Linked DNA regions of Styela clava. The protein of the gene in region 1 binds, or shares a complex with, the protein of each later gene. Links are inferred from orthologs where the notes say so. Each region holds a gene or a part of one and is shown on either strand. Other genes may lie near its edges.

What was found.
Region 2: the proteins of exportin-1-like (region 1) and GTP-binding nuclear protein Ran-like are in contact, whole or in part, in a crystal structure (PDB 7B51), measured with the Homo sapiens proteins. The link is inferred for Styela clava from reciprocal best matches to the Homo sapiens genes XPO1 and RAN. Residues at the interface, in NP_003391.1 of Homo sapiens: Leu35, Tyr36, His37, Gln43, Arg44, Gln47, Leu50, Thr51, Lys54, Glu55, Asn74, Tyr77, Tyr78, Gln81, Lys124, Val125, Lys129, Met132, Leu173, Glu176, Glu177, Phe181, Gln185, Lys266, Thr269, Glu270, Asp313, Gln316, Asn317, Gln320; in NP_006316.1 of Homo sapiens: Lys12, Lys37, Lys38, Tyr39, Val40, Ala41, Leu43, Gly44, Val45, Val47, Trp64, Glu70, Lys71, Gly74, Leu75, Arg76, Asp77, Gly78, Tyr79, Ile81, Gln82, Val96, Pro102, Asn103, Arg106, Arg110, Val111, Glu113, Val124, Asp125.

Annotation. Positions count from the first base shown.
Region 1 is NC_135255.1:23,657,011-23,664,882, forward strand, and holds the start of exportin-1-like, read right to left. Parts: upstream 3,011-7,872; 5' UTR 2,749-3,010; intron 451-2,748; 5' UTR 439-450; coding exon 295-438; intron 1-294. UniProt on the Homo sapiens protein: Mediates the nuclear export of cellular proteins (cargos) bearing a leucine-rich nuclear export signal (NES) and of RNAs.
Region 2 is NC_135252.1:24,004,467-24,011,439, reverse strand, and holds the start of GTP-binding nuclear protein Ran-like, read left to right. Parts: upstream 1-3,940; 5' UTR 3,941-4,005; coding exon 4,006-4,075; intron 4,076-5,709; coding exon 5,710-5,891; intron 5,892-6,973. UniProt on the Homo sapiens protein: GTPase involved in nucleocytoplasmic transport, participating both to the import and the export from the nucleus of proteins and RNAs. Switches between a cytoplasmic GDP- and a nuclear GTP-bound state by nucleotide exchange and GTP hydrolysis.

The sequences.
Region 1 (7,872 bases):
CACCCAAAGGGCCCATATCAGAACCGTATAATAAAATATCATTATAATTGAGTTGTCGCAAATATACACGTGCTTAAACTGTGATAACGGCGTAAAAATTGGTATCTAGAACGTAAAAAGATGATAAATATGAAGTGTTTAATTTTTTCAAATAAGTTCGACGGGCCATATTAAATCGTTGCGCGTGCCGTAATTGGCCCGCGGATAGAGAACCACTGATCTTGAACAGACTGAATCGAATAAACTTTTTATACAGACTTCAAAAATAATAATTCAATTTGAAAAACATCTTACCGGTTGTCCAGATCCGTCGTACATACATCCTACGACATTATCAAGGAGTTGAATATCCAATTTCTGTGAGAAGTCCAGCAACTGCTGGCCGACTTGCTGAGTTAATACCGTTCCCATGGAATTAGTATTGATTGGTGGCGTCATTTTGTTGGATGCCTGGAAAAAGAAATATTTCAAAATTTTAACTGATTAATTCATTAATACTGTCACACCATGACATGATAGGATTTTCATATTTATTTCAAAAGGGAAAAGATGATAATTTTTTGGCGTGGCAGAGCCTTGTATCAAGTTATATGCTTTTAAACTTATGCTCTAACTTATTTTAACTTATGCTCGCCTCCCAGGTATCCTTGCATTTTGTTTGTCTGCTTACTTTTTGTGTCATTTATGTTAAAGAACCAGAATAAAATGATTGATAATGATAACATGGCTCAATCATATGGCAAACCATGGTCTTTCATTCAGTTACCAGTCCATGTTGGGTACGGAATTAGCTATTCGTTGAGATGCATGGACCTCCTTACAGCAGATATTTTGGGTACCACCGTAGTATGTGAACCAAGATGGCGGACACCGGAACGAAGTATGTGTACCAGGTAAGGCCTTAAGTACAGGTACAAATACTACGGGAGTCACTTGGCTCGTTCCGAACTAGTAATAGAACTAAAATAAGAAAAATTGGAATACAATTATGGCCGAACCTTAACCTGGTATACATACCACATTATGGTATCCGCCATCTTGGTGCACATACTACGTAGCGCCAATATTTTTACAACAATAACCTGTTAACTATAACCAAAACTAAACTGTATCGGTATGAGTTTGTAGTTCGCGAAAGGATCAAACATCTCAAAAAATAGGGGAAAGTTGATAAGATGGCTTAACCATAATATGGCAAACCAAGGCCAGTTACCAGTCCATATTGGGTGTGGGAATAGTTATCCAGTTAAAAACAATAATCTGGTTTGATCATATGACATAATATGGCTCTCATTACCAATTTATGGTATATAACAACCAATAAATTTGATTTTAAAGCATAGTTGACATAGTAGGGCAGAGTGAATGTCAATTTAATTTTTTCAATCAATAAAAATAAATTGTAAATTTGAGAAAAAAGTGTACACGTTGTTTTACTCTAGAGAAGAAGCGCAGCAGGATACAGCCATATACCCAACACTACGCTCCAGAAGTATGCGTACCAGTATATACGCAACAAATTTTGTTCGCATACTTTACATCAAGGGACTGAAACCTATAGGTAGGGGGATATTTACTTGGCTAACACAGGCAGTCACCGAACTCGTAATAGAACTGAAGTGAGAAAAATCAGAATAAAATTGTGGCCTAAACCCAAGATGCTGACATGGTACATACTACGGGAGGTGACCGTACATTTGAACCCATGCGTATATCCATGGGTTCAATCTATATACGGGTGCTAAAATCCATGGGTTAGGGTTAGTATGGGTTTAACTATCCGTGAAAAAAAAAAATTCCATAGATGCAATAGCATACAGGTGAAATTGTCATGGGTTCAAATGTACGTGGGTTCAAATGTAATGGAACCACTACGGGAGTATGATAGCCTTGTAACAGTAACATGGCCAGTGTCTTATTAACAAGGATCCATAGCCTTTCCTCCACCCTTGAGGTTCCTGTATTAGTCTTTTAAATTCAGTTGGCTCATTTTAATCATGCAATAAGTCTTTTGGGCGTTTCTACTATAAACAACACCTACAAAAATCATTTCCATTAGGTTAAATGGAAAATTCCTGTATGAAAAATACCCTGTGAACAAGTGGTCACAATATCTGTGATTAATATGAATTTATTTGTATATATATTTTATGAACATTGCGATATATCGTTTCAATATGTTGTTTCACATAATTAAAATTCTTTAACAAAACAAAAAGACGGTAAAATCACCCCCAAACCGTCCAAAATTTGATCGAACCGGCCAGCACTGGTTCGCAACACGGAAAAGTCATCTGCGCGTGAATCCACCTCGAGCGCGTCGCGCGTGTTATTAAACAAACCAATCTCACGCGCGCACACACACCATCGTGTAGTTTTCCACTCATCGTGGGAACCGTGAGAAAATTTCCATGACGTCACGGGCATTCAAAAGCGAGCGTTTCTATTTTCATTCGAAGTTGGGTGTTTCCCCGACTTATCACATACGATTTTAATTTCTTATATTATGTCCTCCCCACGAAAATAAAAATTGCCAATCGAGGATAGGCCTATAACCAGAAAAAATGAAATTGTAAACACATCATGGGGAAACCCCGCGAAACATTACTACATCTTTATGTAATTTTCCATTTGAACGTACGGTACACGGTACAGATGTGCCAGAATTTTGGAAGAAAAACACAATTTTACTAGTTTCTGACTGAATTTTGTTACAAAAATTTCGTAAATAGATTATAATATACTCACAGATTGCAAATCCGAAACGGATATCGCTGTAGCCGCCGTTTTGAAGGTTAGATTCGTTTCAAATTTCTGTTAAATACGTATTTAGTATTCTACTAGTCTACGCTTTCTTCTTGACGACTTATTCAAGTTATGCCTTCTTCAATATAAGCTTTGTAAAGTAACTGCTTTAAAATTTCTTTTACGACAAGTAACTCCTCCCTGCGAACAGTCAATTTCATGAAATGATATTCGAAAAGCAATTTACAGAAGAAGCGAGTCGAAGCTGCAACCGGTTTGATCTGGTTTTCGCAATGCGTTCGCACTTTTTCGTTTTTCATCGCGCTGGATTTATGACGTCATCGCGTTTTTTCGTTCAGTTATTTAGCTCTCTTTCGTCCAGCAGTAAACAAAGAATAGGCAAACTTCAAAACAAAATATAATTTCACATAACGTTAGCTATATCATACTGAAGTATAAAGATTTAATCAGTTTAAAAATGGTTCCGCAAGACTGATTCTGTCTAGAAATTTTGAACCCGCCATTTTTGAATCCGGAATTCACTTATCCGTGCGACCTGAAGTGGGCTGTTCGATTGCGGGCACCGTTTCGGTACTGTTGTACGGATTACCGGTACGAAAATGTATGTTTATTTGCCTAAAAATGTAACAGTATCTGCATAATAATTAAACGGTATAACAGAGACGGGATATATGTTCAAGACCTTACTTTGAATTATGCCTGAGGTTGCCAATTGTGACACATTTACAATTCTAAATGAATTAAGGCTAAACTTTAAATAGGAAGAAAAATTAAAACGTATCGATACTATTTGTTCTAGCCCTAGGTCTTCGCCGACTTCAGCAACTGTTGGGCACGCCTTGTACACAGGTAGGCTGATGCTCCGCGTATATAAACGCGTTTGTAACGAACGATTCGACACGACAATTGAAATTGTTGGACACGTGGTGGTGGATCGTTTTGCTGTTATGTTGATTTTGTTGGTATTTTTTTTCATGTTGTTACAAAAAAATCGTTTTTCTCATATACTAATGGACCATTGCTTTGAAATTTTCAATGGTTGAAGATTGTATTTTTTGCTAGAATGTTATTACTTTTATTCCTAAATTTTCAATGAGATCTGATATTTCATCCAAAATGTCGCCATATTCTTATATTTTCATGTTTTAATCCGCCAAACGCGGCGGCGAGATTCCGATTTGACGCGACGCTACGCGAGACTCGGAGATTAATTGATGCGGGTCGGAACTGTACAAAACGGAACCGTACTTTATTTTGGATTTCGTATAAATATATTTTCGCATTGCTTTTTTTAAATTTACGCTCTACAGTAATTTTTTATTACCTTTTAGGAAGTTTTGCACCTCTAAAATTTTGTAAAACCACAGGAAAACGTCTTTGCGGCAATGGTCTGAAAGTATCCTTATCGTAGGTCACAGGACTGGGCAATATCGCGTACTTGATGATTTAAAAATCTAATCTAAAAATTTTCAAATCAAATTCGAAATATTTTGAAGATATAATCGTATGTGGTATTTTCACTGTGATACATGGGTTAATAAGTTAAGAACTAAATGGATGACCGATGAATCACATTTTTTTCACACCGATCAGAAGTTGGAATTCTAGATTTTAAACAGCGCGTGAAAACTCGTGAACTCAACTCAGTCGTCTTACTAAGAGACATAAAATTACAAATGACATCTAATACGTGACACGTGTTGTTGCATCACTCTTGATAGCTTTTTGACATCAGGCGGCATGTTGCAACACACATCTCTCGAATAGAAAATGGATTTCATTTCCTCATTCCATTGCATCTTAAGAAGTTCCATCCGAATGTTTTCTGCAACCGTATCCACGTTGGCATCAAACGGAATACTAAACAGCCTGAATTCGTTTTTAAGACGGAAAATGACGTCAGCATGCTTTTGACCGCGTTTCACATCCTTTAACATTTCTTCTATTAGCCGAGTCAAGTTTCTAGCAGAAAGGCTGATATAGGAGAATAAATTTACTTTTTTTAGGGCCTACAATACCGACTGCAGTCATCAATTACTTTTTTACGAAGTGTTAAGCAAATTCAAAAACTTTTCGAAACTGGCAACAGTATTCTGTTCGTTTTCGTTGTAAATTGTTTTAGGAAGAAAGAGCTTTGTTTTGTTAGACCTACTTTGAATTGTTTACTCCTATCTTCACGTCTTTGGCCATCTATCCTCCTTTCTATTGTTTTTCTAAGCCGATTTTAAAATGCTTCGTTTCATAGTGACGTATAATGTTCTATTCCTTTTTGCCCAAGTGTTCTGCGCCTTTGAAACCTTTGCACTCAGCATCAACTTTTCTGCGTTGTTTGCCATTTTTCTGATTACAATTAAATTGAGGCTCATTAAACGAGTGTTCACTAAATTGTTAGATTATAATATAATTTAATCTAAACATATCTTACTATAAATTTTGTTACGCAAAGATAATACTGAACTACCCAAACGTAGATCGTAAAATTAATTCATCGTCTAAACCAGGCCTGGGCAAACAACGGCACTCGGGCCAAATCCAACCCGTTGGGGACATTGATTTGGCCCGCCCGATGCTGCCACAACCAAAGTAAAACCAAATTTTGGTGTCTCAGATAAAAATTAGCTCAAGGATTTTGTTGAGATTGCGATTAAATTCAGTTTAAGCACGAGGCTTATTGTTCCCCAATTTTTCTTTTGTGACACTGTAAATATTGTTCACAAAATGTAACCTTCCACGTTACACCTAATGGCCCGCCAGTCTAGGTGGCCCGCGGTACAATAACCTTGCCCACCCCTAAACCGTCGTTTTGTCGCCATAATTCACGGAAATGTCGCGAGCCGAATCAGGACCGCGGGCCGTAGGGTGCCGACCGGTGCTTTAGTACTCCAGGTACATTAATATCATTTGAACAGTTCGCTTCGCTTTCGCATCACAATAGGAAACTTATTCCATCAATAACTCACTTGGAAGACAGAAATAATCAAATGTCAGAATTGCTTTTAAAAAATTGAAGGATACACCTTGACTTCGCACAAAATAAACAAGATGGCGGCGATTCAAAATTTATGGTTCCATTATATTTGAACCCACGACAATTGCACCTGCATACTATTGCACCTATAAATTTTTTTTTTGTTTTGCGGATATTTGAACCCATACTAACCCTAACCCATGGGTTTTAGCACCCGCATATAGATTGAACCCGGGGATATACACATGTGTTCAAATGTACGGTCACAAAAATTTATGTATGCGAACAGATACGCATAATTCACTGTCAGATTCGAAATGCCCAGCTCTAATTGTATATATATACGCTTGTTAGATGCAACCGCGAAATGTTCTATAGGTAGGCTTACAGTATGTCTGACGCAAAAAACGAGACTGTGCGGATAGGACAAGCCGATCTTGGTTCGATCCCTTAGCTTAGTAATAATTGTGAATCAAAATTAGCTGTAAACCATACTAAAATGTCCTCTATTGGTCTTTGCTTCAAATAATGGAAATCGCTCTTTAATTTATCAGAAAACTTGCACTTTGTTTTTTTGCATTTTGATGATTCAACGACAGTACAGTTGGGTGTTGAATTAACGCATGGTACATGGTACTTCATAACATAACTATGACATAACAATCTGAACTAGTAAGGTGAGTTGTAAACCAGTAGGAGTTCACCTGCGTCCGGTAAAAAACAATTTTGTATGAATATCAAATAAAAAAGGCATACTTTCATACTGCATAACCGGTCATTGAGGTCTATCGGCCGGGACGGCGCAACAACTATAGCTAAAATCGGGATTGCCCCGACTATACCGATATGTATGGTAAGCCTTCTCGGCGGTATGGTGCATTGTGCCAAGCGCTAGAAATACGCTCGCCACCGCACCGGTTATGCAGTACGACAATTGTAAAGATTCTTTTATTCGATATTAATACATTTTTTTAACGAAGGGAGCCGATTTTCCACTGATTTTCAACTCAAGAAAAATCCCCAAAATAATACAGTTACTTATTTCAATTTTCTTCGAAAAATAACACTAGGGCTTATTTTTTGGGGATGTCCTTTATTTTCATATATCAAAAACAAGATTGCAAAGTAGAGAATTACCAGATTTTCAAATATATATACAAAATATAAAAACCGATATCCATTTACTTGTGAAAAACACGTTCATATTTAACCTAGATTATTCAGGTCATTGAACCCTTTTCTCTCTCACAAGTTTTAGAATTCGTATTATTCATTTAAAACGTGTAGGAGAGATTTTGGTACTCCCGAAGTATGTTTACCAGGTTAGGTTTATGCAATAATTTTGTTCCAATTTTTCTATATTTAGTTCTGTTACGAGTTCGGTGACTAGCCAAGTGACTCCCGTAGTATTTGTACCTGAAAATATGGCCTAACCCCAACGTGATACATATACTACTTTCCGGTGTCCGTCATCTTGGTTCACATACTTCGGAAGTACCGAGATTTCCTGCTATTGACTAGGTCCAAATAAATTTTGCGCTATCGACTAGGTCTTATTCTGAGGGGAGAGCTTATGTTGAAATCATTTTTATAATTCAGAAAAGACCTTATTTTAGGGGAAACACGGTATATCATAGTTGTGATATTTGAACCCATACGTTATTTTAACACCCGACTGTACTGTCGTTGAATCATCAAAATACCGAAAACAAAGTGCAAGTTTTTAATAATATTTACAGCGTCATGCCCATCATCTACCCACAATGTTATGGTTAAAGTCAAAACTTCCACTAAACCTTAGTGTTACGGTAGCCAAAGTCCAACTTAGTTCAATAGCCCCGCAAATAGTCTATGACTGCAATGCATTTATACGCGCTCCCAAAACCTGTCTTGCTGTCTATGATACACTGGAAATATGCAGCTCTGATGTTGTTGTTTGAAATGATATTTTAATCCAAGTAAATCCACAGTTAAACAGAATATCCAGTTATTAAATGTAATCCAATAAAGCAACCATACAGGAATTGATTGCGGTAAATGACAATTGTGTCTATCCAACCAATAGTTCTACGATAAACAGATAAAGTAGATGAGCAAATTTACTATGTGCGCTCCCGGTTTCAGGTTCTTGCCGAAGA
Region 2 (6,973 bases), on another chromosome or scaffold:
TCGAAGTTCTGTGTGATCTGGCTTTTACAAGGAATTTGCTTGTTTATTTCTGGTTGTCAGTTTCCCCTGTTCGGTACAATTTCAAAAGTACTAAAGATATAAACCGGTGCCATCCTGTTACCGCTCAATAAATTTATTTTCGTTTTGTTTGATTCTGTTTCTTTGGTTTAGTTAAATAGGAAAGGATAGGATTTAGGATAGGATTTACATATTTATCCCGGGGGAGAGGAAAGCCGATAAGACGGCTTATCCATATGGCGAACCACGGCCTCTCGTCCGGTTACCATTCCAAGTCGGGTATGGGATTAGTTTTACTGTATTGTTTTTTTTTTTCGGAAGCATGGACTTGGTGGTGGAGGAAGCCGTAACCGACCAGCGGTTACGTGAACCACCCAACGACGGCGAGGAGTCCAGCAATCCTCTCGCACATAACCATCCCTGCATGGGATTCGAACCTGCGAACCCACGCAGAGTAATTAGAGGTGCGGTGGCGAGCGTATTCCTAACGCTTAGCCCGTTGAGCCACACCGCCGCGCGGAACAATAACCTAGCCTAAGATAAACTGAATCAAATAGGACATACTGAATAATTGGGGGTGAGGCAATTGGAGGGCAGTACAGTATCTATAAAACTTTTACCGCTAGGGATAATCTGAGGAAACGGGCAGATTATCGTAAAGTCGTTGTCAAATTAGATAATAGAATCTTGAGCGTCGCCGCTCGATAGACAGCTTTGCATCTCCGCGGGTTCCCTTCCCCAATAAAAGTGTGTACAGTACTTATCATTTCCCTCGTAAATTGTGTGAGATTAATTTCAGATCGGGGAAACTGTGATTAAGGCGCCTTGTTGGCTTTCCCTGGTTAAATAGGACAATTGTATCCTATTCAAACTAGTTTTAGATTTTACCGCTTTAGTACCAGAATTGAGTATTTCCATTCATGTTCAAGTTTATTTTTTTATCCAGTAAAAAATACAAATTACGTTATTCAAGGATAAAAAGCCAATTTTCAATCTTATATTAACATTTTATTGCTACGGTACAAGAGCAATGATTACCGATGTTGTATCCTAGCAAATAACACTTACATAATCTCACGAATGAACTCAGAAACGAGCGATATGCTTGAGTAAACAAACGAGGCAATGGAAAATTTTCAAAACTAAACCACGTGCTGTGACGTCATCGGCGCGAAAGGACGGTCTCGTCTCGATCTGGACGGTTGTTAGTTTCTGGAGGTGAGATTTCGAAATTTTATTTTCATTTAGAAAAAGATGTTTTGTATTTGTGGAGGGGGGAGATAAATACGATGTGACGGCTTAAAATATACGGGTTTTTATAGATTTACCAGTCCATGTCAATTATGGGAATATTTTGGCGCCAAATCGTTTCAGGTCCGCTTACTTTTGCGTTTGATTTCGCGTATTCAGGACATCCGCGGCTGGATTTGATTAATTTACTATTATTTTTTTTGCCAACTGCCGCTACCTCCTATATTCAGTCTTATGATGATAAAGTTTGTTTGCATATTTTATAAAGCTTAGGTACCGTGCAGTCAGACAGTAGTAGGATATCATATTTGCCCCTCCACAATCTGACATTTCTGTTTACAGGTTTAGTCATATCGGATCGGGACACTCAGACATTACAGCATTAGGATAAGTTATGCTATTGCCACACATTTCTCTCTTTATATTGTTCTATAAACAAATCATCCCAATCTTAGGTGATTCATTTTTATGACCTGTTACATTTGTTATGCCTGTATGCTGAAGACGGATCTGTATTGGACTTGGAAACAGAATAGACTACTGGACTACAAGAAACAGTTTAGAAAGTGAGCTAATACAGTAATAAATCCAGTATGCACACTTTAGGATCGAGAGACATTGTCTCGTTTTCAAAGAATCCCATTTTGCCAATGAACTCCTTCCAGCCTTCCTTTTTGGGGACATCTGGACATTGTTGACCCTCAATACAGCAATATCGGCAAAAATACAGTAAAATGAAGTTAGGCAATAGACTACAAAGAAGCGTGATCCAAACACGTCATCATCGAATTCGATTTATCGAAGGAAAAAATTTTTTACCGTGGCATTCGAGAGTTTTTATAAAAAAATGGCAATTTTGATCACATGATGGCCGCGATTAATTTAGATTATTATCGCGACAAGCATGGTGCGATATGACGCATCTGGCGTTGTGCCAGACAACTCTCGTTTGTGAGACACAGGAGTGTTTGGGACATTTCTAGAATTTGAAAAGTATGCCCTACTGCTGTACTGAAATCCAATGGTGATGTTTTTAGATTGCCCTTGCTTTTAGTTTATTGCACAGTGCCAATTTGTCGCTTTAAGCTGATTATGGACATCCAGACTGGGAGTCGCAGTTCTTACCACTTCTTGACAGCTCCTGCCACGAACGAACCGCGACGACTCTTGCCATGGTTTATGGCGCTATCACAGTATTATCGGTATATTCACAAAGTCATGTACCAGATTTACGTTTATCATGCGAAAATATATCTACTTAAACCTGAAACCTAAACCCCAAATACATCTAAACTGTATCTATAAAAAATGTTCCAACTTACGCAATATAAGTCACCATCAGGGCAGCCTTGTCCTAACCATTCAGGTGTATATAACTAACGGCCGACCTGCCGTGGTTTTCAATTTGCAGCCGCGGTAACGGCAGCTCGCCATTGGTTTGTGGCAGTTGGTCGCCGTGAGTTTGGCCATAGTGGCCGTGGTTTGGAAATACCGCTATGGTTTGCGGCAGCTCCAGACGCCGAGAAATGCTTAAAACTGCACTTGAAGACTGGAGGGGCTTGCACTCACTGTTATATTTATTGCCTTTTAATGTGGAGCTATCCTTAGAATGTTCATTTTCTTCAAGTCAGGGCCGTGAAGTCTGATGTACTCGAGACTGAGCAGACTTCCTAATTTCTCAAATTTGAAAGTCCAAGTCTCTATTACCGACTTTCAATGTAGATGGAAAATGGCTGCATTTCCAACAGAAAACTAAGAACAAAGTTTGCCAAGCGCTCTGTGCAGTTTTTGTCTTCAAATCTCAATTTTCTAGGATTTCGGAGTTGATTTCAAATTTTTTACAGGCTGTCAAATCTTTTCTTAACCCACTGTCTGGCAGTACGGCACACTATACAGATTGAGCGACATTGTCTTGTTTCAGAGAAACCCATTTTACCGGTGATCAGACACCCCTCCCCTTTGGGAGACGTCTGGACATTGTTGTCCCTCAATATCGGTGAAAATACAGTATAACGAAGTTGCGCAAAATACTACAAAGAAGCGCAATCTAAATACGTCATCATTGAAGTCCTCGGGAAAAAATAATCCGATTTAACGAAGGAAATTTTTCTTTCATGGCATTTGAGAGATTTTAGAAAAAAACGGCAATTTTGGTCATGTGATGGCCACATTAATTTAGCTATGGCGCGATATGATGCATCTACCTTTGTGCCAGACGCTCCTTGTTTGTGAGACACATAGAGTGTTTGTTTTATCGAACCAAATGAAGGGAAATTCTCGGAATTTGGATAGTGTGTCGTACTGTCTGGAAGTAAATTTCCAGACACCATAATCCTGATACAAATATTCTATTCGCTTTGGATATCTCAGTAGGGCACAGTTTGCAGATTCCAAAATGTCCCAACGTTTGGTTCAATAAAACACTCAATATGTCTCTGAAACATCTGGCATGCAGCAGGTGCATTAGTTCGCACCATGCTTGTCTCAATAATAATCTTAAGTAATCGCAACGAGTGCAGACGCCAAGTGACCTAAATTGCGTTTACTCTCACATAAAGGAGGGAGGTTGCACTCGCTGTTATAATTGATGTCTTTTAATATAGAATCGGAGAATCATGCTATACTGTATATTGACCAGTTTTCTGATCACAAATTTATATTTCTTCTTTAGAAATTAGATATTTTGCTTAGTTAATTTGGCAATTACGGTAGAATTTGTTTGGGAAAACATAAAATATGGCACAGCAACAAGCAGACAGCGACATCCCTCGTTTCAAATTGGTACTTGTTGGTGATGGAGGTGTAGGTAAGTCATATAGGTAGATAAAAAAAAAGTTTCTTACATTTTGAATATTTTTAGGCTGACTATTATTCCCTGAAAAATAGAACTCGCGCAAATGCAGTTTTAGGGGACCGGTCGCTTCAGCTGCTGTGGAGGCTGTCGTGTTTGCGCAGATATCAAATACATTTCAAAGTTGAAAGATCAGGAAAAAATGATTTTTGACTGTTACGGATTTCATGGGAGAAGTTAAGTTCCTTATATTCTTCAAGGCTCAGAATGTCTTGGCATGAACAATTGAAAAGCTTTTCATGATGCTCTTTCATGTCTATTGCTATGAACACGGCCCTCTACAGGCAGGGAGCCACTGATATCTACTACAGGGACAGTGACTCCTCTACAGCCCATGGGCCGGGGCCACGGCCCATCTAATTGGGCCACGTGGGCCGTGGCCCATCAAGCTATGGGCCGCGGCATCATCAGTATATATCAATTGTCTTAACAAAATAGTCCAGTAGTATGTGTACCAGGTTAAGGTTGGGACAAATTTTCGTTCAAGTTTTTCACATTATAGTTCTATTTTGAGTTCGGGGACTGTCTGTGTTAGCCAAGTGAATAGTCCTTTTACACAACTTATTCGATGGGCTGGGCCCCGGCCCATTGGCCATAGAGGAGTCACCACTTCCCCTCGATATCTGAGGATATGTGGAAAGATTGGAATCTTTCTTGATTTTAGGAATAGTCTTTATTTGGAAAATCATTGTCTAAGTGAGGAAGCTTACAGCCAAACCAAAAAAATAACAATGGAATTGTTGAATATGAACTACCGGTAATTTAATGACCTGGCCCGAGTGCAGTGATACGTTTGTCAACAATGCGCGAGGCTTGATGCAGTGATTGTATATTTTTTTAATGGGAATGAAGCATTTCGTTATTAATATATGTTAAATTATTTGTAATTTTACTCAACGAAAGTAGAGGCAAACTTAAAAATTTCAATGCAAACAAAACAACTCGGGCTTGATTTTTAACGTGTAAATACGGTAGAAAACGTATATGGATTGGACGCCGGGTAATTCAGCAGTAAAGCGAAACTAAAGAAAGCAAAAAGTACATTTTTACTATAGCGGAATATTTATTCACAGCGATCGGGCCTCTCGCTTTGTTGATGTCATATCTTCAGCCTCATGGGCCGAAACGTGTGTATGCCACATTCCACATAGAATACAGTCAATATTCGGTACTCCCGTTCCCGTAGTATGGGAACCAAGATGGCGGACACCGGAATGTAGTATGTGTACCAGGTTAGGGTTAGGCCATAATTTCAGGTACAAATACTACGGAACTTCCCAAACTCGTAATAAAACTAAAATTGGAAAAGAATTATGGCCTAACCCTAACCTGGTACACATACTACGTTCCGGTGTCTGCCATCTTGGTGCACATACTACAGGAGCGCCCAAGATTCAAAAATATTATTTTAAAATGTGTTCTGTGTGTATTAGGTTTTATTTGTTTTGCCTTCTTTGGTAATGGGTGTTTTATTTGTTTTGCCTTCTTTGGTAATGGGTAGGGGTTCAATTTCCCACTATAAATTGCAATTTTTTTTATTGTTGTGAATTTCCATATGTTAAATAATTTATTGAAAAAATTTTTTTTAGGCAAGACAACGTTCGTCAAGCGACATCTTACTGGAGAGTTTGAAAAGAAATATGTGGCAACCCTCGGAGTAGAAGTCCATCCGTTAAGTTTTCATACAAATCGTGGAAAAATTATTTTTGATGTCTGGGACACAGCTGGACAAGAAAAATTTGGAGGCTTGAGAGACGGATATTATATTAGAGTAAGTTAAAGTTTCTGAACCCGAGAAAAATTTCTTCCCGCGGGGGGTCGGTTTTGAAGTTTTTGGGAAGGGAATTTTACTTTGTACTTGCGTGTTGACTTAGGGATGCATGCCACTTTTGGATTTATGGATCGATTCGAATCGCATCTTTTGCGAATCAGATTTACGCGACTTGGTAACAGAGAGCGATTTACCGAAAAATAAAAAGATTGAATGTTTGTTTATCTTTGTTTTCGGCGGCATTTAAATTTGCCGAATGCGTTTATGCGGCACTCCAAATAACACCAATTGAGCAAACATAGGCGTGCAATAAGAAAAAAAAAAGCTTAATGGAATCAGATTCGATTCGATTCGAAAAAAAGTGTATCCAGAACTGGCAACCCTACGTGTGGTATCATTTATATTTATACTTAACATGAAACTCAAAAAAAAAGTTACTTTTTGTAAGTGGTCAGCTCATACGCGCATAACTCTGATCGCACTCAATCAAACGAAATGACATTAACCTAATCCAATTCGAACCATGCTTGAACTTGATCACTTGTGTGATTTGTAGGGTCGGCTTATATGCATATTTTTAGAAATTGACCATTTCGGGGCCGTTTTTAGGGGTTTTATATAGTATTTAGTATTATTGTAATGAATATGAATATGCATACATTAACTTATATTTCGTTAACAAAAGCCAGAGTTTGAGTTGCACGCATTGCAAACCAAACGTAAATCAAGAATAAGAAATGCAAATTTTTATGCAAAGTGGGAAAAGACTTGGGAGCTTAAAAGTTGGCCCAGAGAGAAACGGGTCAATAAAGGTGTAGATGGAGTTATTTAAACTATTTCTGGCATTTTTTTTGGGGGGGGGGCTGATTTGATTTGTCTGGGATTGTTGAGTCAGGAGATGAGTTGGGCGCATTCTGGCTGGAGTAGTATTTTCAAACTTTTCAAACCCAGAGTTGTGCGTTAAAATTCTGAATTCTCGGAGTATGTGTCGGGATTTCAGACATTTGATAGTGATGAATTCAAAATAAAATGGATCTTTTAAAGCGTCTTATACTCTTAATTAACAGTTTATCAAAGAAGGC